Zea mays: one gene and its partners. The protein of the gene in region 1 binds, or shares a complex with, the protein of each later gene. Links are inferred from orthologs where the notes say so. Each region holds a gene or a part of one and is shown on either strand. Other genes may lie near its edges. The genes, in order: Probable mediator of RNA polymerase II transcription subunit 26b, mediator of RNA polymerase II transcription subunit 25, uncharacterized protein LOC100276155, Mediator of RNA polymerase II transcription subunit 23 and uncharacterized protein LOC100216950.

The links.
Region 2: Probable mediator of RNA polymerase II transcription subunit 26b (region 1) and mediator of RNA polymerase II transcription subunit 25 share a complex: the UniProt entries of both Arabidopsis thaliana proteins name them as parts of the mediator complex. The link is inferred for Zea mays from reciprocal best matches to the Arabidopsis thaliana genes AT5G05140 and PFT1.
Region 3: Probable mediator of RNA polymerase II transcription subunit 26b (region 1) and uncharacterized protein LOC100276155 share a complex: the UniProt entries of both Arabidopsis thaliana proteins name them as parts of the mediator complex. The link is inferred for Zea mays from reciprocal best matches to the Arabidopsis thaliana genes AT5G05140 and MED9.
Region 4: Probable mediator of RNA polymerase II transcription subunit 26b (region 1) and Mediator of RNA polymerase II transcription subunit 23 share a complex: the UniProt entries of both Arabidopsis thaliana proteins name them as parts of the mediator complex. The link is inferred for Zea mays from reciprocal best matches to the Arabidopsis thaliana genes AT5G05140 and AT1G23230.
Region 5: Probable mediator of RNA polymerase II transcription subunit 26b (region 1) and uncharacterized protein LOC100216950 share a complex: the UniProt entries of both Arabidopsis thaliana proteins name them as parts of the mediator complex. The link is inferred for Zea mays from reciprocal best matches to the Arabidopsis thaliana genes AT5G05140 and SFR6.

The regions. Positions count from the first base shown.
Region 1 is NC_050103.1:106,778,734-106,783,368, reverse strand, and holds the start of Probable mediator of RNA polymerase II transcription subunit 26b, read right to left. Parts: upstream 3,235-4,635; 5' UTR 2,477-3,234; coding exon 1,880-2,476; intron 1,793-1,879; coding exon 1,724-1,792; intron 1,626-1,723; coding exon 1,543-1,625; intron 1,342-1,542; coding exon 1,286-1,341; intron 1,201-1,285; coding exon 1,079-1,200; intron 979-1,078; coding exon 951-978; intron 858-950; coding exon 475-857; intron 394-474; coding exon 249-393; intron 128-248; coding exon 3-127; 3' UTR 1-2. UniProt on the Arabidopsis thaliana protein: Component of the Mediator complex, a coactivator involved in the regulated transcription of nearly all RNA polymerase II-dependent genes.
Region 2 is NC_050097.1:178,591,899-178,594,681, reverse strand, and holds part of mediator of RNA polymerase II transcription subunit 25, read left to right. Parts: coding exon 1-235; intron 236-1,447; coding exon 1,448-1,501; intron 1,502-1,951; coding exon 1,952-1,980; intron 1,981-2,232; coding exon 2,233-2,301; intron 2,302-2,391; coding exon 2,392-2,476; intron 2,477-2,783. UniProt on the Arabidopsis thaliana protein: Component of the Mediator complex, a coactivator involved in the regulated transcription of nearly all RNA polymerase II-dependent genes.
Region 3 is NC_050097.1:1,837,284-1,842,035, forward strand, and holds the start of uncharacterized protein LOC100276155, read right to left. Parts: upstream 3,046-4,752; 5' UTR 2,881-3,045; intron 2,730-2,880; 5' UTR 2,695-2,729; coding exon 2,434-2,694; intron 1,801-2,433; coding exon 1,738-1,800; intron 1,263-1,737; coding exon 1,182-1,262; intron 1-1,181. UniProt on the Arabidopsis thaliana protein: Component of the Mediator complex, a coactivator involved in the regulated transcription of nearly all RNA polymerase II-dependent genes.
Region 4 is NC_050100.1:213,162,777-213,166,322, forward strand, and holds part of Mediator of RNA polymerase II transcription subunit 23, read right to left. Parts: intron 3,161-3,546; coding exon 2,917-3,160; intron 2,848-2,916; coding exon 2,094-2,847; intron 1,637-2,093; coding exon 1,455-1,636; intron 1-1,454. UniProt on the Arabidopsis thaliana protein: Component of the Mediator complex, a coactivator involved in the regulated transcription of nearly all RNA polymerase II-dependent genes.
Region 5 is NC_050096.1:232,623,470-232,628,118, reverse strand, and holds the start of uncharacterized protein LOC100216950, read left to right. Parts: upstream 1-1,553; coding exon 1,554-1,589; intron 1,590-1,946; coding exon 1,947-2,121; intron 2,122-2,278; coding exon 2,279-2,802; intron 2,803-3,314; coding exon 3,315-3,491; intron 3,492-3,838; coding exon 3,839-4,219; intron 4,220-4,355; coding exon 4,356-4,496; 3' UTR 4,497-4,649. UniProt on the Arabidopsis thaliana protein: Component of the Mediator complex, a coactivator involved in the regulated transcription of nearly all RNA polymerase II-dependent genes.

The DNA of each region.
Region 1 (4,635 bases):
AGTTAGCGCCGCCCGTTCGCCCAATTCCTAAGGCTATTCCTGGACTTCACCACCGGTTGTCTGTTTTGATTCTTGGGCTTCGGTATGTCACCCAGCTCCATTACCTGAATCGTGCGTTGCCTTTTCGCTGCACAGACAGAGGCGTGGAACGGTTCAATAAAAACCGAACCGAAACGGTAGAGACCTACTACTAGTGACAGACAGATAAGGATAATACTCTGGTGAGTGTTAAAATAGAGACCACGAACCATTCTCCGCTTCCTGGTACCGCTCCTGGAGCCTCCGCTTCGCTGCTTCCAGCTTCCTGTTGTTATCCAGACCATCATCGTAAACCTTTGGCTTTGCCAACTCTAGCTTGGCTCCTGCCGAAGGTCGAGCGCCGGGCCTTGATTTCTACAGCAAGGAGAACAGATAATGTGAGTCATGAGGTCTTAACCATCGTCAAAAACATGTGCCTTAGTTGCGTGTACTTACATCTGTCTGGCTTGCCATAGGCTTTCTCTCGATAGCAACATGCTCTCGAGTTTGTTTAGGTTTCATGTCACCAAATGGTCTCTGTTGAGCTGCCTTTACTGGTCTCCCCGGTCCAGATTCATAACTTGAGGGATTATTAGACTGCTTGTTGAGCGCACCGTGAGGTTTGGCTTGCAAACTTGAACTTTGGAGGGTTTGTGGGTTCGCTTGCCTCATTGGTGGCTCTTGCCTTGCCAGTTCTAGCCTCCTGGGTTGAACTCTTTCGACGACTCCAGGATAAGAGCGAGGTGGATCTTGCCTTGCAACCGTTGAATGGCTTGCAAGTCTCCCACCATTGTTACCCCTCTTGTTTCCAAGGCTCGGGTCATTACTATGTCTCAAATCTGGCACCGTATGCGCAACGTTAATAATCATCATAATGTTAAAACCAAGCAATAAGCATGGAAAATTAAGAACTGCTAAATTGCTGTACTCACTTCCATCTTCATCCATTTCGTCAAAGAACTTTAGGTTGGGGAGATGGGAGGAAAAACAACAGACACAGAGTCAGATTGTTGTTAAACACAAATCCCAATCAGATGGCAGGAATTAACTATATCAGTACCTCAGAGAGTTGAATAGAAGTGGTTTGGGTGGCAAAGAAGGCCCCTTCGTCCAAAGGTGGAGATGGAAGCCCTTCCTCTTCTTCATCCACAACAGAAGGATTTGAAGAGCCAGGGGAGTTCTCTACAGCACCAAAGAACAAATATCCATATTAAGCTAAGATGCCAGTCTTCATTTAGAAACTGTTAGATCAATTCAATTCAGTTACCTGTCAGGGCAGCATTTGTGGTACTGACCCATTCATCAACCAAAACTTTCCAACCTCTGAAACACACAAGGTAACCTCATATGTCAACAACATTTCCAAGAACGCTAGCAAGAAGGCACTTCCAATGATTATGTAGCTAATCTACAATTGGTTGGTTGATATTTGATCAGTGATTTTGGTCTGCTATTAAGCACTTTGAAAGCAACAGAGAAGTAGCACTAGGGACCAAAATTGACAGAAATGAAGATGGAACTTACTCAATGAGAGTGCACACGAGGTGCCGAATCTCTCGTGAGTTGTGTTTCCGCAGCCGATTAACAGCTCTTCCAATCTCAGTAGCCTGCAATGAACAGTCCTAAGATTAAGAAACCAAACAGCCAGAGCAAACAGGGATCAACACATCAAATAGCTCATATGTACGCAATATCCATTTTGTACCTTTAGCGTAGAGACGGACAATTGCATCAACTGCAGCCTCCTCAGTGAATCGAACAAAGTGGCATCCGACTGCAGGAACAACATGATTTAGCTCAGAGGAATTCGAAGTTTAAGGACCTTATAAATAAATGAAGAAACGAGGCAGTCTGCCAGTACATGGTCTTCCTTGTGCAGGAGGAGTTCCTTGATGCGGAGGACCTCGCCGACGATCTGTGACTCCTCATCGATCTCATTGGTGAGCGCCTCGAGCTCCTCAGCGTCGTGGTCTTCCTCCCCTTCTTCAGTATCATCCGCGGCATGCTGCTGCTCATCTTCCTCCTGTTGGTCGCCATCTTCGTCATCATCATCGTAGTTGTGGCCATAGTTGCTCGCTGCGGCGCGGCGGAGGCGCTCGTCGTCAGAGTCAGAATCATCGTCCTCATCGGCGTGGCCATGGCCATGGCCGCCGCCGCCGTGGGTACCGTTGCTGCTGCTGTCGACCTTGCACTCCTTCTCGGCGACGCGGCGCACGCTGCCCTTGTCCTCCTCAACGGGAGTGGCCGGGGTGGTGGACGCCGCGGCGCTGCCGAAGGACGGCGGCGCCGCGTCGCGGCGGAGCGCGGTGAAGAGCCTCTCAGCGATGCGGTCGCGGCGGTGCAGGAAGTCCCGCGGCGCGTCGGCCGCCGCCACGAGGATGGCGTTCTCGATGACGTCGCAGATGCCAGCGCCGGCGCCACGGAAGAAGCCGCGCCACCGATCCAGCCCGTCGGCCATCGCCGCGGCCGCCACCGGTCCCCGCCGGGCCACCGTCGCCAAGATCAGCCTCCCCCGACCGCGATTCTCAGCAGCGCAGCCAAGGGCCGATGCTCCCCCTTCCTGCTTCTATCTGCTACCAAATTACGCCGCGCGCACCGGCACCAGAACCAAGAACCCAATCTCTCCCGCCCGCCCAACGGCGAATCAGATTCCCCCGAATCGGGGCCGGGGCAGGGGCAGGGGCAGGGGCAGAGTCACCAGCCAACCGATCGAGAAAACAGCGGAGGAACAAGAGCAGGGCGAATCCGGAGGCGGAAGGGATCGATCGCGAAGGAAAAAAACTAGCAGCGTGACCTTCCTCGGGCCCCACGTCCCCGTTCCTTGTCGGTTTCAACAACCTCACCGGGAGGGAGTTCCAGCGCGGCGCGGAGGTAGCCTAACCAGAGCAAATCTTATCTGGACTGCCTGGCTGACCCCTAGAGCGGAAGGAAGCGGGGAGGAAACACAGGGAAGGTGAAGTTGAAGACAGGAAGGGGATGACGATGAGACGGGCGGATAGGGACGGGGAAGGCAGGGTGCGCACACCCACGAGACCTACGCGGCTACTACTACCAAACACCAGCAACAACTAGTCTTTCTCCCATGGCCCATGCCTCGCCACCACTAGCAGCTGCAATTGCGGTAACAAACTGCAATTTACCAGAAGAAGCGAGCGAAGGGCAGCAGGACTCGGCCGTACTCAACCCGCAGGAGATGGCGGAAATGCTACGGGAGATGGGTGAGACGCGGCGTGGCTGATTCTTGTTGCGGTCGACTCGGGCGTCGGGGGGCGCCCTTTCCGGTCTCTTTCCTTCTCTCTCTCTCTGTGTTGAGGAGCAGTGCTGCTAGGTTGATGATGCTCACTCACAAAGTCACAGGGTGGTTTTCCATCATGATTATTGTTTAGTTGCGTATAATCTGAACTATTTACTATTTGGTAAAGCATATCTCTCTCGGGCCATAATTGCAAAGTCATTTGCGTACCGACTACCGAGCACAAGTATTTTCAGCACTGCACACAGCGTGTCATGTCAAATGGATGGGATGCCCTCACAAGCTTTATCATATATTTTTATTCTGTTTTCTTCATGTCGTATTTCAATGTTTAATCATTAATTTTTTTAAAAAATCCATATAAAGTCGGAACATGTACAATGTGTGTTAAATAAAAAATTTATTGTAGTGAATTTAATACAGCTTGGTGCGTGGTACTTGTTCTAGTTGATAGGTTGAATGAGACAATAAAGACGTAATTCTATATGAAACAACTGACGAGACATGAATATAACTTTTGAAAAAAAATGCTTGTCGTTGTAGGCAACTGTTGTGCATTTGTTTTTTAAAAAAAGACGGAAGACGAGTTTTTTAACACAGTCGTGCGACGCGCTGCACCTAGTACAGAGCAGGCTCTCAAGGTGGCAAAATCGTAAGACACAAGAGGTCCGCGATGCTTTGCAATACATGAGATGAGGAGTCGAATGCTATACTATAGGTTTCGCAATACATGAGATGATAACCCATGGTCGCAAAAAAACAAGAACGATAAGAATGGGTGACGGTATAATAAGTAAGATTGAACGAAAAGAGCGAGAGAGATGGAAAGAAAAAGAAGAAAAAAATCCTCTCCGGAAATCTCGGGAAAAGAAAAAAAAATACTATAGCCATCAAAATCTTACACCAAACAATCTGATGAAACTATAATAAACAGCGAAAGAAATGCATCGTCTGTTTTTGCAGTGTTAGCATCTTGATCCGAGCATCCTGGCTTATTCCCACGCCGCGCATAGATACTCCCATTTCAAAAGTGGCATGTGTTTCATGCTTTTTGTTGAGAAGGAATTCCGTCTCTGTATTTTGTCCCCTGTGCACTGCGTGCGCATCTAGCGTCTCCCACCAGTAGTGTGGGACAGTGGCTGGCTAGGGTTGTTTCGAGGTTCTTTTTTTTATTTTCATTTTTTTTAAATTTTCTACAGTAGTATGACTTACGCGGGTGTTCCATTTTGGAGTGGCTGCTGGGGTAGCCGAAGGGCCAGTCGTGTGTCCTTTTCACTAGCAACCATATGCTGGCTTCGTGTAGCAGCAGAGATAGTAGGAAGGAAAAAGGAAATGGAAGAGTATATATTAAAAAAAAGATAGAT
Region 2 (2,783 bases), on another chromosome or scaffold:
GGTGTCTGGTTCACAATTAGGACAAGGTGGAATTGTTGCAAACCAAAATGTGATGAGCACCCTTGGACCTACAGCTATCTCTTCAACGCCTGCGATGATGCCGACACCTGGGATGGTCCCACAGACAGGAGTCAATTCCTTAGGTGTGAATAACAATTCTGCTATGAATATGCCTATTACGCAGCAGCATGCCAATGCCCAACAGCCGCCACCAAAGTACGTCAAAATTTGGGAGGTAAAGGTTTCCTTGTCTTTTAGCATTTACATATACATAGACAGCATCCCACCTCTCCAGTATAACATAGAAATGAGTTGCTTGAAATAAATGGTAAGCACGGTGCAGAGAAGATGACTAATAGGCAATGTTAGCAAGTCGTCTAGCCGATCCTAGCCGCCATGGGGCTGACTAGGTGAGTTGTCGCGATTAGTCGTCGACCAGGGCGAGTAGTCGCAATTAGTTGTCGATCAAGGCGACTAGTTGGCCATAGTTGTCCCCTATTCATCCTATCCTATATATATATCAGGATTAATATACCAAATATATACTTATATACTATATGTTCGAGAGTACAAATCAAGCATGAAGATAACTCTAGGGTGATAGCTGCACGCAGGGTTTCAAATTGGACAGGAAAACACGAGCAAGCCATCCTAGATGCAACCCATGTCCTAAGTTGCTCATCAATTCCAGTTATCCACCTCCTAGTTGTCTAACTAATCAGACGACCAGAAAACTAATCAGCCTAATCGAGTTGTAGCCCCTAGTCGAGTCCAGGATACCAACTAGGACGACTAATCACGATTAACTGGATGACTTGATAACACTGCTAATTGGAGCCTTAGGCCCTGCTGTGGCTATGATACTGTAGTGCAAAAATTGGGAGTTATGTTGCATACAATCTTGTTTGTTGGCCAGAGATTTTCAACAACTGATGTGTCAGGGTCTAAGGAGGCCCACGGAGGGGCTGCGACAGCAGCAACCATGGGCCCTCCAAGGGGATTATATAAGGATAGTTAGAGATAATATTAGAAGATTAGTTGAGATTATTTAGGAGATTAGTTGAGATTATCTAGGAAGGTTATTAGTTAGTAGTTTGTTGAGAGTTTTTAGGAGAGTTTTAAGGAGATAAGGATCTCTAGCTAGATAGGGGCGGCCAGCCGGTCTATTTATGTAATCAATGGATGAGAAATAAAGCAGACAAGAATTAGAAGGGAGAAACCCTCTTCTTGCTCGGCCGTGGGTAGACGCCCCCGGCCGACGTTCCTGCCCATCGACACCCCTCCTGCTTTTCAACTAATCTCCTAAATAATCTCAACTAATCTTCTAATATTATCTCTAACTATTCTTATCTAATCCCCTTGGAGGGCCCATGGTTGCTGCTGCCGCAGCTCCTCCGTGGGCCTCCTTAGACCCTGACATGATGTTTGCCATTTATCTGTATTTCAGGGAACTTTATCTGGCCAAAGGCAAGGACAGCCTGTAATAATTTGTAAACTCGAAGTAAGTCTTTGTTTTGCATTATTGGTCTCCAAAAAAATATAGTATATTGTAAGAAATTATAAAAGTTTCTAGTAGTTTTTTGTTCTGCAGCATTACTTAGCAGAAATAATGGTTCCTGAGTTCCTGAGATATGATGACACTTCTATGCTCTTTGTAGATCTGTATGAACAACACTTCTATGCTCGTTCAACTAAGTTTTGTGATATCTTTGACCCATCTTTTTGCTAAGACTGGAAATAAACTAGTTTTGAATAAACTTCTGAAGTTGTAATCGTGTTTTTTTAAACTTCAGGTAGAGAGAATTTAACCCCTTTAGAAATGGACTGTATCAATTGCTGCGGATGCCCATTTTGAGCCATAGTTTGTTATCACCTTCAAAGCTGGAGTCTTACTTGTGCAGCTCTTTCGCTTTTTTGTTTTGACATTTCTCACTTTAACAATGTCTGACAGGGTTATAGGAGTGGAACAGCGTCTGAAACGTAAGTGTCTGATTTTTTGCAATAAACCTTACATTTTCTTGAATCTCTGTTATACAGTGTTTTCTGTTGATTACTATGATTGAGGTAAGTATTTCTTGTTAGTTGATGTTATGTTGTCGTTGTCCTTGTCTTGAAAGAAATGATACTAGAAATTTTCATTGGGTATGTTTAACAATGGAACCTTTTTGTGGTACTTTCGAATTATGCATCTAGACTTAGTAGGAAACTGAAAGCCGTACTTTCTGCATGCAGACTTGCAGCGGACTGGCCAGAAACAATGCAGATTGTTCGCCTCATAGCCCAGGAGCATATGAACAACAAGTTTGTTACTCATTCTTTTCAATGCCAACTTGTTGCATCATTTTCTTGTAAATGTGCTGTGAATGACATATTTACTTGGTTATTCTGCAGACAATATGTTGGCAAGGCAGACTTTCTAGTTTTTCGGACTTTAAATCACCATGGGTTTCTTGTACAACTACAAGAGAAGAAGCTGGTCAGTGCCTGAGTCTATTTCTTTTTAGTCTCTACTGTATTTAAGTGGGAAAATCGTTGTGCATTGGGTCTCCCTCAGCGCGGCGCAGCGCTCTCCCACGGGAAAAAAAATAAGAAAAAAGAGAGCATACTAGCGCTCGAACCGTGGCCCTCTTCTATAGATATTCTAAATATTGTGTTACACAGAGGATAAATATTGTAAATATATATACATACTAATACATTTAAATTTAAAAAAATATAATCATGCCACGTCGGACCGGGCCGGCACTATAGACTGAGACGGTGGCTCAGGCACGACATGGTTC
Region 3 (4,752 bases), on another chromosome or scaffold:
GATTCATAATGCATATGCACATTTGTTACATATAATGCATTAATCCAAAACAAATTACAAAAGAAAAGGTCAACACATTAATACACATTGTTGACTAACTTATTTAAAATGGTCATCAACAGCAATCATGCTATAAAAACATGTTTCCAATATTTAATGTATTGCAGCTGGTACTGGGTAAACCAGGCAATCACCAATGGTGCTGATCGAGCAATATTCCACCAATTTCTTTGAAATTCACAAAATAACCAGCACCATACAACATATAAAATTAGCAATATTAGGTCTATTAAAATGGTTCTAAATATTGTAGATCGTAATGACAGCACTGACACCGGTATCAACTGGAAAACTAGGGCTTTTTAAGGAAGGCAGCTCATGCCGGTCTCCACTAAACCGACAGTCCCTACTGGCTAGTAACATCAGTTATTACGTACTAGTAACCCAGCAGTAAAAACTGCCAAAACTAGCCAAACTTTAGACACTCTTAACAACTAATAATTGTGAATTAGAAAACAAAACAATGGCTCAGTAAGTCAGTGGTAAGGCACTAAGGCCGCTCGGTGCGACCGTGCGAGCGCTACTACCCGAGTTTGATCCCTGACTGGGGCGACTCAGGTGTCACACGGGATTTTCATCAGAGGGGACTAAGCCTCTATGTGTGTGAGTTGCTCAGTAGGCACGTTCCAAGACTGCTTGGGCAGCCTCATCCGTGTTTGAGCATGAGGACAACATGTGTGCACCGTGCACATTTGAGTTCTTATATGATATGCTAGTGCTTCTGGCAACAACAAAGCCTTTTAGCTCCAATCAAGTTGGGGCAGTCCCAAAGAAAGCCTTTTAGTCCCATGCCTTCTATATAATATGGCAATGCTCCTGTTGATGTTTAAATAAATGTGAATTAACTTTTTAAAAGGATTTGCCTAGAGACATGAATATTTATAGACATTTTATGAGACAACACAAAAACCTGCAACAGATCTACTATACCCCGTCTTATTATCCATTTCTGGAAAAAATTCTTAATTCTTGTGCAATTGAAAATTTTATTGGATACCAAAACAAAGTAATTGAGATTCATTAGCCAGAATAGTTCAATTTAACTTAGTAATTATTATCAAATTCAGAAGACCACTAAGAATAAAGCATATGAGTCAGGAAAGAGAAGTAACAGAACTTACAGTAGACTTTGAGCTTATTGTTCCCGATATGGAGTTCAACAATTGTTGGCACCTAGCAAACTGGCTGGTCAATTCTTCAACCTAGATATATATAAAAAGCTTCTCTTAATACAGTAGCTATTGGAATTAGGATTTAGCAAAACGCTGGGAAAAATATGGTGTTTAGCTGGTATTCTATAAGAAATCAGCATGGAAGTACACAATACATAGTAGTAATTTTAACATGCTTCTGCAATTGCATAATTGCATAACTAAGGGTATGTCTTCCACTGGCTTGGTTTTGGCTATGGAAAACTGAACCGTGCAGACCCTGTCACCCTGGGCTGGTCCCAAGCTTCCTGTGCACCACCAACACTAGAGCATTGTTTGTGACCTGTCTCTTCTCTGGGAAGTGATTTAAGAATTACATCACATGTCAATTCAAACTCTGTATAAGAATATTCAGGCTCCACGCCTAGAAGAAGCTACAACTATTGTTTCTGACAAGATCATGCACTATGAGTACAAGAACATTGATCCATAAAACAAATGAAAATTAGTAAATGGTGATTCTTACCAGTGCATCGAAATTTTGGTCCCTTGTTCCTGTACCAATAGCATCGGCTAATCTTGTAACCAACTAACAGAGAACAAAATTATGCAAAGAAGAAAACTATCAGTATTTCACAATACATTCTAGTACTTTCTCAAAGAGTAAAAGGAAGAAGAGCCATCATAAAAGTGGAAACAAAGATTTGCTACTTGCAAAAAAGCCATTGGAAATAAGCCTAAATGTTAGATGCCAATACAGACATGTGATTGCCAGCTTAAGAAAACCTACAATACCTAAAGTGCCCTCATATATATTTTTAATTTATGTATTTCTTGTCAAACCAACTCGAGTGATTAGAATCAACATTTTCTCTGGCCATTACCAATGTTGCACGCTCTGACGCTTGTATATCGTTCATGTACACCTATAATATGGCAATCTTCACTACCGGCCAAAGTGACAAATCATGGTGTGAAGAAATTGCAATCGCTGAGCAACAAATACAGGACAAATTAATGACAATCTTTAATGACTAGCAAAATCCCAAGTTCAGAATTTTGAAATTCCGGTGCACAAAGGGCACACTCCAACAACATCAATGACATCACTACAAAAAGAAGGGTTCATTTGAGGGTATGTATCATCTATGCTATCTTAAACTAAGAGCAAAGGCCCCCAAAACACAAAACTCCACACAACTCCAAACACTCCGTTACTTACATGTAGGAGGTGGAAGTGGGAGGCAAGAGAGGCGTGGTGATGCTGCTGCGGCTGCGGTGGAGACATCAGTGTCTGCTGCGGCTGTGGAGACATCAGTGCTGGCTGTGGCTGCGGTGGAGACATAAGCGCCGGCTGTTGCTGCGGCTGCGGCTGATGGTACTGAAGAGCGTGGAGGTGGTGGTCGGGCTGCGGGGACGTCATGAGCCCACGGTAAGGATCGCCGTACTGCTGCTGCTGCTGCTGCGGGTGGTGGTGATCCATCTCTATCCCCAGTTCCCAACACCTGCGGGCAGGGGCTATTGGAAAAATCGAAGTTATTAGTAATTTAGTAGGCATAATAATACATGCATATACTTGCAATTACTCCTGAATCAGATCCGATTCTTAAGCTAGGTTTTGAGTGCTCGGTTTCGCAAAGCAGATAGGGGAGAGGAGGGACGGGCATACCTAGTGGGTGCTCGTCGCCGGTGAAATGGGCACGACGAAGGTCTGGGCACCGGCACCTGACGGCGGCGGCGGTAGCCTAGTGCTCGCCGGGAAATAGGGACCACGCGGGGCGTGAACTGTGAACGGCGGCCAGTCCGGTACTGTTTGGCCGACGGGGGCGCTAATCTCGGAGTACGGTGGCTGTGTCCAGCTGATATGGCCGTCTAAAGAACTGTTGTTGTACGATAGTCATACCTTTGTTTGTAGCGTTGGAGTTGAAATAGTGGATAGATATTAGATACGAGAGGAGATAGATAGTGTTTTTTAACCTTATTCATCTATAGATGGCTAAATAGATTGTCTGTCCAGCATTAATGGTGTTATTAGACACTATTAGTAAATGTGTCGTGATGTGTTAGTACTATTGTCTAGACACGGCACTATAGTGTCTAATCATGTCATGCCGACACTAACATCTAGTAGGGTTCGTGTTAGCCCACTTTAAAAGCTCAAAATATATAGATGATTTTTAAGGTTATATATAATTTTAAAACTTGAATATGTGTACTATTATAAAGTGGGTTGACTCTTCTGAGGCTCCCTTTTGGTAGGATTTTTGCATCACCGGCTTTCCTTCTGGCTCATCTGAAAAAAATAGTTTGATCCTTATTTTTAGTAACCCTTGGAGAACACTCTATTTAGTTAAAACACAACTACTCCTATTTTCATGGGAGGGTGAGTGACAAGAGAGAGTCGAGTCAGAGAAGCCTCCTTTTTAGGCTCTGGGCTTTCCTCGGTTTTTAGGGACATCTCCTTCCTATTTTTATGGAGAAGCCACGAGAGGAGCCCACCATTTGGTAGCCTTTTTGAAGAAGCTGTTGAGGGGCCATTAAAAGAGCTCTACCAAATAGAACTCTACTATGTAAATTGTCATGTACCTAGGAACAGGGTAACCAAAAGTAAGCCCACAACCTCCTTCCGGCCCATTAGCCGACCAACCCTCTGCCAAGCAAGCCTACGAGGCGGAGCGGACGACCAAGTCCTCCGTCGAGCAAGTTTGCAAGATGGAGCGAACGACCAATTCCTCGTCGAGAGGCAGAGCGGCTGACCAACTCATCGACGAGCAACCTCGCAAAGCAGAGCAGCCGACCAACTCCCCACTGAGCAACCCTTTGAGGAGGAGCGGTCGACCAACTCCAAATTGGGCAACCATACGAGGCGGAGGTCCCAACCTAACGCTATTAACCCGTGATGGCTACGACAAGACGCGTCATCATCAACCCACGTCCGGACATATGTGCAACGTACCGAAGGGGCGCCAGGAGGTCACTATCGACACGACTGAACGCCACCACGTACGCTCTAAGGCGTATCCCCACTGCCATGTGGGGTCAGTCAACCCAGTCATAGAAAAAACCTCAGCACTGGAGCCTCTACAGTGACCCGTATACCGGGGAAGGCAGCACAATGCGCCATACAAAGTATATGCCTACACACACTAGGTGACGCGTGATCGTTATGAGGGCAAAATTCTTACATGAGGGCAAGTTTACATGAGGGCAAAATTCTGCAATTGGTATCAATTGACAAAATTCTTTATGAGGGCAAGTATTATTTACTTCCTACATGCTTTTAATATCTTCTTTTTTCGGTGGTTGATACCAAAGGGGGAGAAGTTTAGGGACCAAAGCAATGAACAATGTATCAAACATCAAACACCACCAATTTAAAATTTTAAAATCTACAAGTGGCTTTTCAAGTGGTTTTGGTTATTTGGTCCAAAAATAGGAAGTAAGTGAATTATGGAGTTAGGGGAGGCTTAAGTCCATAATCTCACATTGAGGGGACAAACATGCATCCTAGCAAGTAGATTGCATACTTTCATTCAAATAC
Region 4 (3,546 bases), on another chromosome or scaffold:
ATATTTTGTAATCCTGTGTGCTAACCAGGGAAGTATGGACACTGGTTCTACAGAGATTGAACCTCACAGATGTGAGGCCCCCGGGCTCTAGCAGTCACTTCAATTGCTAGTGGGGTCTTGCTATCAAAGCTCTTCCTAAGGAGCTGCGTAAAGGCTTTCCTTACTCATCCTAGTCTCCTGGGAGTTATGGAAACACAGAAATGTTGTTGTTTTTGAAGGAGTACGGGCTGGTGTTCAGGCTGTCCTTCGGTTGGTAGCTGAGGAGGGTCACTTGTGGTGTTTAGCTGGGGCTAATGATCTCCAGGAAACCCTCCAAAGATCCTTTCGCTTGGCACCATAGTTTTTGGCCAGGTGGAGTTCGCCTAGGAGGCTTTAGCCTCTTGTAATTCTTTCTTTCTTAATCAAATGACATGTGGTTCTCCTGCGTAGTCCGAAAAAAAAATCATTCTCCATATCAAAGGCCATGACATCATCAGTAGTAGTGGCAGAGTTAGTGCTCCTTAAGCAGAAGAGGTAGGCAAACGATTGCTTTGATAGACTAAATCTTGTATTTATCTTAAGAGTAGGTGCATATGTCAGCACCTTACATTCTTAGCTCCCTTTAGCACCTACATTAGCATAATAGCATCTACTTTAGCATATATATCTGCATATGCTGAAATCTCTTAGTTTTCAAGTTTGCTTCGCTACTTCTATATATACCTAAACCTGCTATGTTTTTGCGTAATGGCTTAAATGAAATATAAAATCTTGTCCCAAAACCTGTGTCTATCCCTAGCATGCTTTGCCAATAAGCAGCCGGTCAAGAATGAGGTATGGATCCAACTGTTGTGACATGTGGTGTTGTGAGGTGGAGTAGATAGGGTCTATTTGGACCTAAGTGGCACACTAAGTTTAGGGACCAAGATAACAAGCCGAGACAAGCCTCTGAACCTAAAAATAACATTTTAAAAAACTGGGACCTCGACGTCACACAAAGACAGGCTTGAGGACTTAAAAATGCATTTTCGGAGTTTGGGACTTGAATGACACCCTGGAAAATATATGTAAATTCTGACAAAAAATGCTGGAATGATGCTAAATGATGAACATAAACTTGCAGCAGTTATTGAGGTTGCATTGCAGGTACAGCATATGCTGATCCAATTCGAAGTGACTAACACCTTGCCATACAAAGCTGTTGACTTTAAATTTAGACCACTTACAAGCTCATAACGTAAATCTAAAGTAAAACTGAGACTAGCTCAGATAGTCAAGGACAGTGGATGTATCTCTGGGGCTCTGGGCCACACAAGTTCAAGTCCTCATCAAGGCAAATTTCGGTGCATATTCTTTAATTATTAAATTAAAAACACCTTGTTCCTTCAAGGTTGGTTGAGCATTTAATTTAAAGGAAAAATATACCACATATTTCTAATTTTGGAGTAACTGCAAAGAGAAAACCGAGTATATACCTTCATGAACAAAGGTCGAGCAAAGGCTAGACGAGGTAACAAGGGACCCAATATGCGGAAGGCGATTCTTAACATGGCAACTGAATTGACTGGCCGAAGGTGTTTGATGACAGTATGAGTAGATTCCAGCCACTCTTGTGGAAGATTGCTAAAAAAGGAATGCAGAAGGGCAACAATGTTACCTGCAACCAAAGCACAAACGACATAAGACATAATTGAGGCACTAGCATATTAAGTTAGAGTGCAGATTTTGCGCCATTGATAGCTAAAACACCAAACTGCAATGTTCCAAAAGTCAACATAAAAATCATGTATGTAATACACATAAAGTATAGCCACAACAATTCAGTTTGAAATTCATCCTAGATGCCAAGAAATAAAATAGACAAGCAGTCAACCTGACACTGTTCACCATGTGTTGATAGTGACACTTCTATTTTTTTAATCTCAACATCAAAGATGAATTTCAAACTGATTTATTGCGGCTACACTTAACTTTAGGTCTACTACATACATGATTTTTGTGATTATTTTGAAACATTGCAATATGGTATTTTAGCTAACAAGGACGCAATATAATTTTCCATTAAGTTAACTCTGATCTGATCCAGCTCATAAGACTAAAGAAAAATGTTCTACCAATGGCTGTTGATGTATTGTCTTGGGAAGCCCATGTAGGATCCAACAGTGCATATCCAACAGCAGAGTCAAGCTCTTTAACAGGCCTGGAACCATCAGCAAGCCACCAGCAGTCTTTTATGACTCGAGCTGCTTCTGAGTATAGTTGCATGTGGAATTCTGGTGGGAGTTGTGCCAGCAGAAGACCACATGCTTGAATCATCAAAACAGACAATTGTTGGCAGGAGTAACCACTCCTAGAAACAAAGTTAGTGGCATTGATGCCAGTTGCAGCACTGTTCGCTTGGTTGGGACCTGAGGATTCAGCAGCCCCTGAAGGAGAAGTTGGCAGCCCAGAACTTTGCCCCAAACCACCTGACATTCCTTGGCCACTATTTGACTGTATAAGTATTGCTTGTACATGTGCTATTATTTGGACCAAAGAGGACACTATTTGAGCAGCAGGCACAGGAAGTGAGAGAATCTCAATAGCTGCTGTTTCCAAAACAAGCTGTGTATACGACCCAGGATCCTGATTCTGATAAAATGCCCTCTGGCCATCGGTGTTACCAACTCCACCAGGTTGTGAAGATGCATGATGTTTGTTGAAAGTCGAGCGTGTTGTGTCTGCTGGGTTTGATTTCGATTTGCTACTTAAAGGAGGTATAACATTATTAACGAGGTTTAGCAACAGGTTGGCAAAGTATTCTGGTGGTGGACATATTGAAGAATTTGATGACACTAAATATTTAGCAAAAGATTCTGAAAAGGGGGTCTGGAAAAAGCTCATAGTTAGCAAGTGTTAGGCACAAAGTGTTACAACTAAAAAAGTAAATAGGTTTACCTTAGTGCTAACACCCAGCAGGTTGAGGATCCTACCAATTAGTTTGATTGGAAGATGACCATAGAAATACGCAAGAATATCACGTACAAATGTAAATCTTAGCGGGTGGAAGGCAAGCAAGGAAGAATAGAATGCAAGAACTCTGTCTGCAATGTCAGTTGCATCATTCTCAATAAGCCTATAAATAATCAGTGGAATAACAGGAAGCAGACGTGCAGCAATGTCATCGAAGAAGGGTGGATAGCTGCATCAACAAAACTAGAGGACATCAAGATTCTATTACCACCATTGAAAACAAAACAATATGTATCTCAGAAGAAAACCTCACTTTCTGTTTGGTAAGTTGACAGCCAATAGTAGCTTTATAGTTTTGGAATAGGTGCAGCATATATTACAATAATTAGTTTAAAGCTGGGTATAAATGGACAAACAAGCACTGACCACAGATAAAATAATCCTAATATGAAACCATATTGGCCAAAAACATGACCAGAACATCCAAAATATCAAATTGATCAGACAACCAAATTAATCTAACTATGCCATAAATAGATTAAATTGCTATTCAAAAGAACACAGCTTTTTTTAATGGAAACTGTTTATTATATGGGTGCCATGTAACACAAATAT
Region 5 (4,649 bases), on another chromosome or scaffold:
ATATTTGTATGCATCACTATTATCTGTAACTAATAAGCTTGCAAAACCATATTTTTGTCCCACTGGTATTAGACTACAGTGTGGATGGTGTTCATACGCTTTCAGTGAATATGGTTCATTTTGATATTGCTATAACCAAATATACATTCATGTCTATCTACTGGCATAGCTTTGGATTTTAAAGTGAATTATAGCATAACACAGATCAATATACTGTTTTCTTCAAATATAGAACTGTTAATGTTCTGCTGCCACAGGCAGTGGTGGATCCAGGAATGGATCAAAGGAGGGGCTGCTAAAAGAAGGTTAGTTTTTTTAGGCTGAACTAAATGATATATCAATGTTTAATATAACAAAGTAACAAGTATAATTCAAATCTTCAAGACACATGTAGACAAAATAAGTAGGTACGAAATCTATAAATACAATACTCAATATATACCGCTCAAGATATCTCCATCAGCTTACTCATCCTCATCTCATATTTCAAACCCCACTCTATAAATAGTGCATTCTACAGTGTAAAACAATGTTTTACACGGTCATATGCACGATCTGCTGGCCATAGCCTCATGAATTACGGTTGCAACGTAAATTTATCTTTCGAGTTCTTATGCCTTAAAAACGTTTCAAAATCTTGTGCTGGCTGCAGCGTGCGCCTTGCGCTGGCCTGCACCTTGTGCTGGCTGCTGGGCGCCTACACGCTGCTAGCTGCTGCAGGTGTGTCGGCCATGCACGCTGGTCCGTGGCCGTGTCCTGCGTGGCGGCGTGGGTGCACAGTGCGCTGCCCGTCAGGCTTTGTGATGCGGCACTGGCACTACTGCAGTGTTATGGCACGGATGGGGGCCAGGCGCGCGTGTGTGCGGCACTACTGTTTGGTGCTGGTGTGCTGTGGCGACATGGCTGCGTGGACGAGATCGGGTGCGGGTGCTAGATGCCACGGTTAGATGGAAGGCTGTTACCTATTTTTGTTGGATTTTATGGACTAAAATTATGATATGATATAAGTATTATTGGACCGGGGCCGCCCCTGGCCACAAGTATGTGTAAATTGTACATTTTAATGGGCATTTACAACAGTGGCATTTTTTTATTTTAACCGCAAAATGATGCTAGAAACTTTTCCAGTGGCTGTTTGCCTTTGGGTTGAAAATCATTGGCATCTCAGCAGGTGTCTCTAAATTAATTGACTGGCTGGACAGCTGATTCATATGATATTTTGGGTTGTGATGAGTTAATATGACAGTTGGAATTTTGGGTGATATTTCATATTTTATACCTTTTTGGCTTCAATGTTTGATTTACTACCTTTCTTCCTTTTATGATTAATGAATGTACAATTGTACATGCAGAACCTTGATAGGATTAAGTGTAGGTTGTTGGAAGGAACAAATGCCCAAGATGTACGGGCACTTGTGTTGGACATGCAAGCAAGATTACTTCTGGATATGCTAGGCAAAGGAATCGAGTCTGCCCTTACAAATCCATCAACTCTGCTACCTGAGCCCTGGCAAGCTTCCAGTGATATGTTATCCAGCATCGATGCTGACAAAATGACTGTTGAGCCAGCTCTGCTTCCAAACATCCAGGTCAAGCTGTCTCCTTTATGCAAGTTGTTTCTATTTCATAGCCATGGAACTTAAATTCAGCTATCTAACATTCTTTCTTTCTTTTTACTGACTTTATTCTTTTAAGACTTGCTACTGAGCCGTTTTTTTTCATTTTATAAAGTAGTGAGCAGTATATTGGTATGCTAGATCACTTCCATGTAAACGGTACTTTAGTTATGTTGGTGAACTCATGTGCAATGTCTGTTATCCTTTGCCAAAACTGGTGTATTACAGCCTTTTAATGTTGAGTATTGTATAAATTTCAGCACAGGTTATCTGCATAGGGATTCTTTATGTTACTAGGAAATAGCTTATTTTATTTGCATTCAAATGCAGGGTTACGTTGATGCTGTTCTTGATTTAGCATCACATTTCATAACTCGCTTGCGGCGTTATGCGAGTTTCTGTCGAACTCTGGCGAGCCATGTGGGGCCATCTTCTACCACAGGCACTTCTAGAAATATGGTTACAAGTCCAACAAACAGTTCTCCTTCGCCATCAAATAATCAAGGTTAGCTATGCCTGCTAGCTTGCTAAATCTTGTGTTTTTCTCTTGTTTGTGCGCAAAAAAGTACATCCAAACCTTATGTTTTCTTCATTGCAAATTTGAGGCTTAAAGTGTTGTTTATTTAGTGCTGCTAGCATCTTGATGCTCCTTCAAATTTCAGGTAATCAAGGGGGATCAACATCTGCAACAGGGAACTCACAAATGCAGGAGTGGGTCCAAGGTGCAATTGCTAAGATTAGTAACAATTCTGATGGTGCTGCCACTGCAACACAGAATCCAATGAGCACGAGGACATCATTTATGCCCATCAGCATTAATACGGGCACTTTCCCTGGCACACCTGCTGTGAGACTTATTGGGGATTGCCATTTTCTTCATAGATTATGTCAATTACTGCTATTTTGTCTGCTTTTCCGAAGAAGGCAATCACCAAGGTTACTTGCCAGTTCGCAAAAAAATCAAGATTCTGCCATGCAGAAAATACAACACATGATGAATGCTAAGACAGAAGATAACAGTTCGACAGTAAGATCTGGTCTAGGGGCTGCCAAAGTAGAAGAAGGTCACTCTGCGCGTGGTGGACAATTTGTTCTTGGTGGTGCAAAGGGTCCTGAAGAAAATCCAATTGGCAAATCTGTTAGAATAGGTTCTGGCAACGCTGGGCAAGGTTATACTTCAGATGAGGTGATTATCAAATTCTTGACAAGATATAGTATTTTTTACAGAGTTTAATATTGAGTTATACTAAGGAAACTTTGGGAGTTAGTGCTACCAAACTGGGACTGATCGTTGGCATTTGAACTTTGGGAGTTAGTGTGAAGAAGCTGACGATGTGCCAAATGCGCTGGAAAACTGGTGACCTGAAGTCCTGAACATAGTGATTAGTTTGGAAACAACTATGTTTTGGCTCCTGCATTTCTTTGGAAATGTCTAGCTTTGGTTGCTATGGGAGAACACATGTCGATATAGCCATCATAGAGTGCAATTGCGTATGTAGGTTATTTTGGACCCTTGATTTAAGCAGTTTAAAATTTTGTCCAGCCTAGCATGAACAACAGTTTGATTGCATATGTCGTTCATGATCTCTATTGAGTGATTTATCAGATGCTTTACAGATCTGTCTTTCTATTCTTTGGAAGATTTCTTTTTGTCTAGTTTATCTAATTATCTCTGTAATTTTATTTCATTGTTGGTAGGTCAAGGTCCTTTTTCTTATACTGGTTGACCTATGTCGAAGGACATCTACCTTGCCGCATCCATTGCCTGCCTCTCAGGTTGGTTCCAGTAGCATTATCATAAGGCTGCACTACATTGACGGCAACTACACAGTGCTCCCTGAGGTAGTGGAAGCGTCTCTTGGTCCCCATATGCAGGTACTAGTCAAATTCTCATGGAAGTTTCTAATGGTCGCTTTCGTACTATTTGTGGCCATTTTGAGCTACCAACATCTATCAATTATAGGAGTAGAAGTTGATTTTCAAGTGCACGACTCAGAGATATTGCAAGTCTTCCTGTTTCGAACTGAATTCAGGACGACCACCTTTAAATGTTGATTAGGATTCTCTTAGCAGAAGTTATCTTTTTTGTATTAGCCATTTTTTATAGAAACATGCACTATTACTGCCAGGGCCTTAGACATGGCATTTTGAGTGATCCCTCGATGCCTACTTCCCCATCTATTTTCAATATTTCATTGTTTCCTATGTCTGTAACTCTGTAGAATATGCCTCGTCCACGAGGAGCTGATGCTGCTGGACTTCTACTTCGAGAATTAGAACTGCAACCTCCTGCGGAAGAATGGCATAGACGCAACATGTTTGGTGGACCCTGGTCAGAACCAGATGATTTTGGTCCATTGGACAATATGCCTCGTCTAAAAATTAGTGGTTCCATCAACTCTCATTTGTCTGACATGGAAGTGGATGCTGTCAGTTCCATTGGGATTGATCTTTGGCCAAGAAAGCGTAGGTTATCTGAAAGAGATGCTGCATTTGGTCTGAAAACATCTGTAGGTCTTGGAGGTTATCTAGGTGTCATGGGATCTCGAAGAGATGTTGTCACGGCTGTGTGGAGAACAGGTCTCGATGGTGATTGGTACAAGGTGAGTATGGTTATGGTCGCTTTACCTTTTGCTGTCAAGTCTGGGTTCATAGTTCCTTGACGAGTTCTTTATTAGAGAATCCTGGTTACTCCCCTAATATACTTCGATGCCTAAATTTGTTGTTTCTTCTTTCTAGTGCATACGTTGTTTGCGGCAAACTTGTGCATTTGCGCATCCTGGTGCCCCAAATCAGACAAATGAACGTGAGGCTTGGTGGATCAGTCGGTGGAGCCATGCTTGCCCAATGTGTGGGGGTTCATGGGTGAAAGTTGTTTGAGCGCTGTATTTGGCAACAACTTCGCTGCTAATTGCTTTCCTGACAAACATGTATGGAGTTCCATAGTTATGCATCTAACGCTAGGCTACTAGGATCAGGTTCAGCCGTTCATGCCAGATGGTTGGTCTACAGGCACATGCACGTGGCACGACC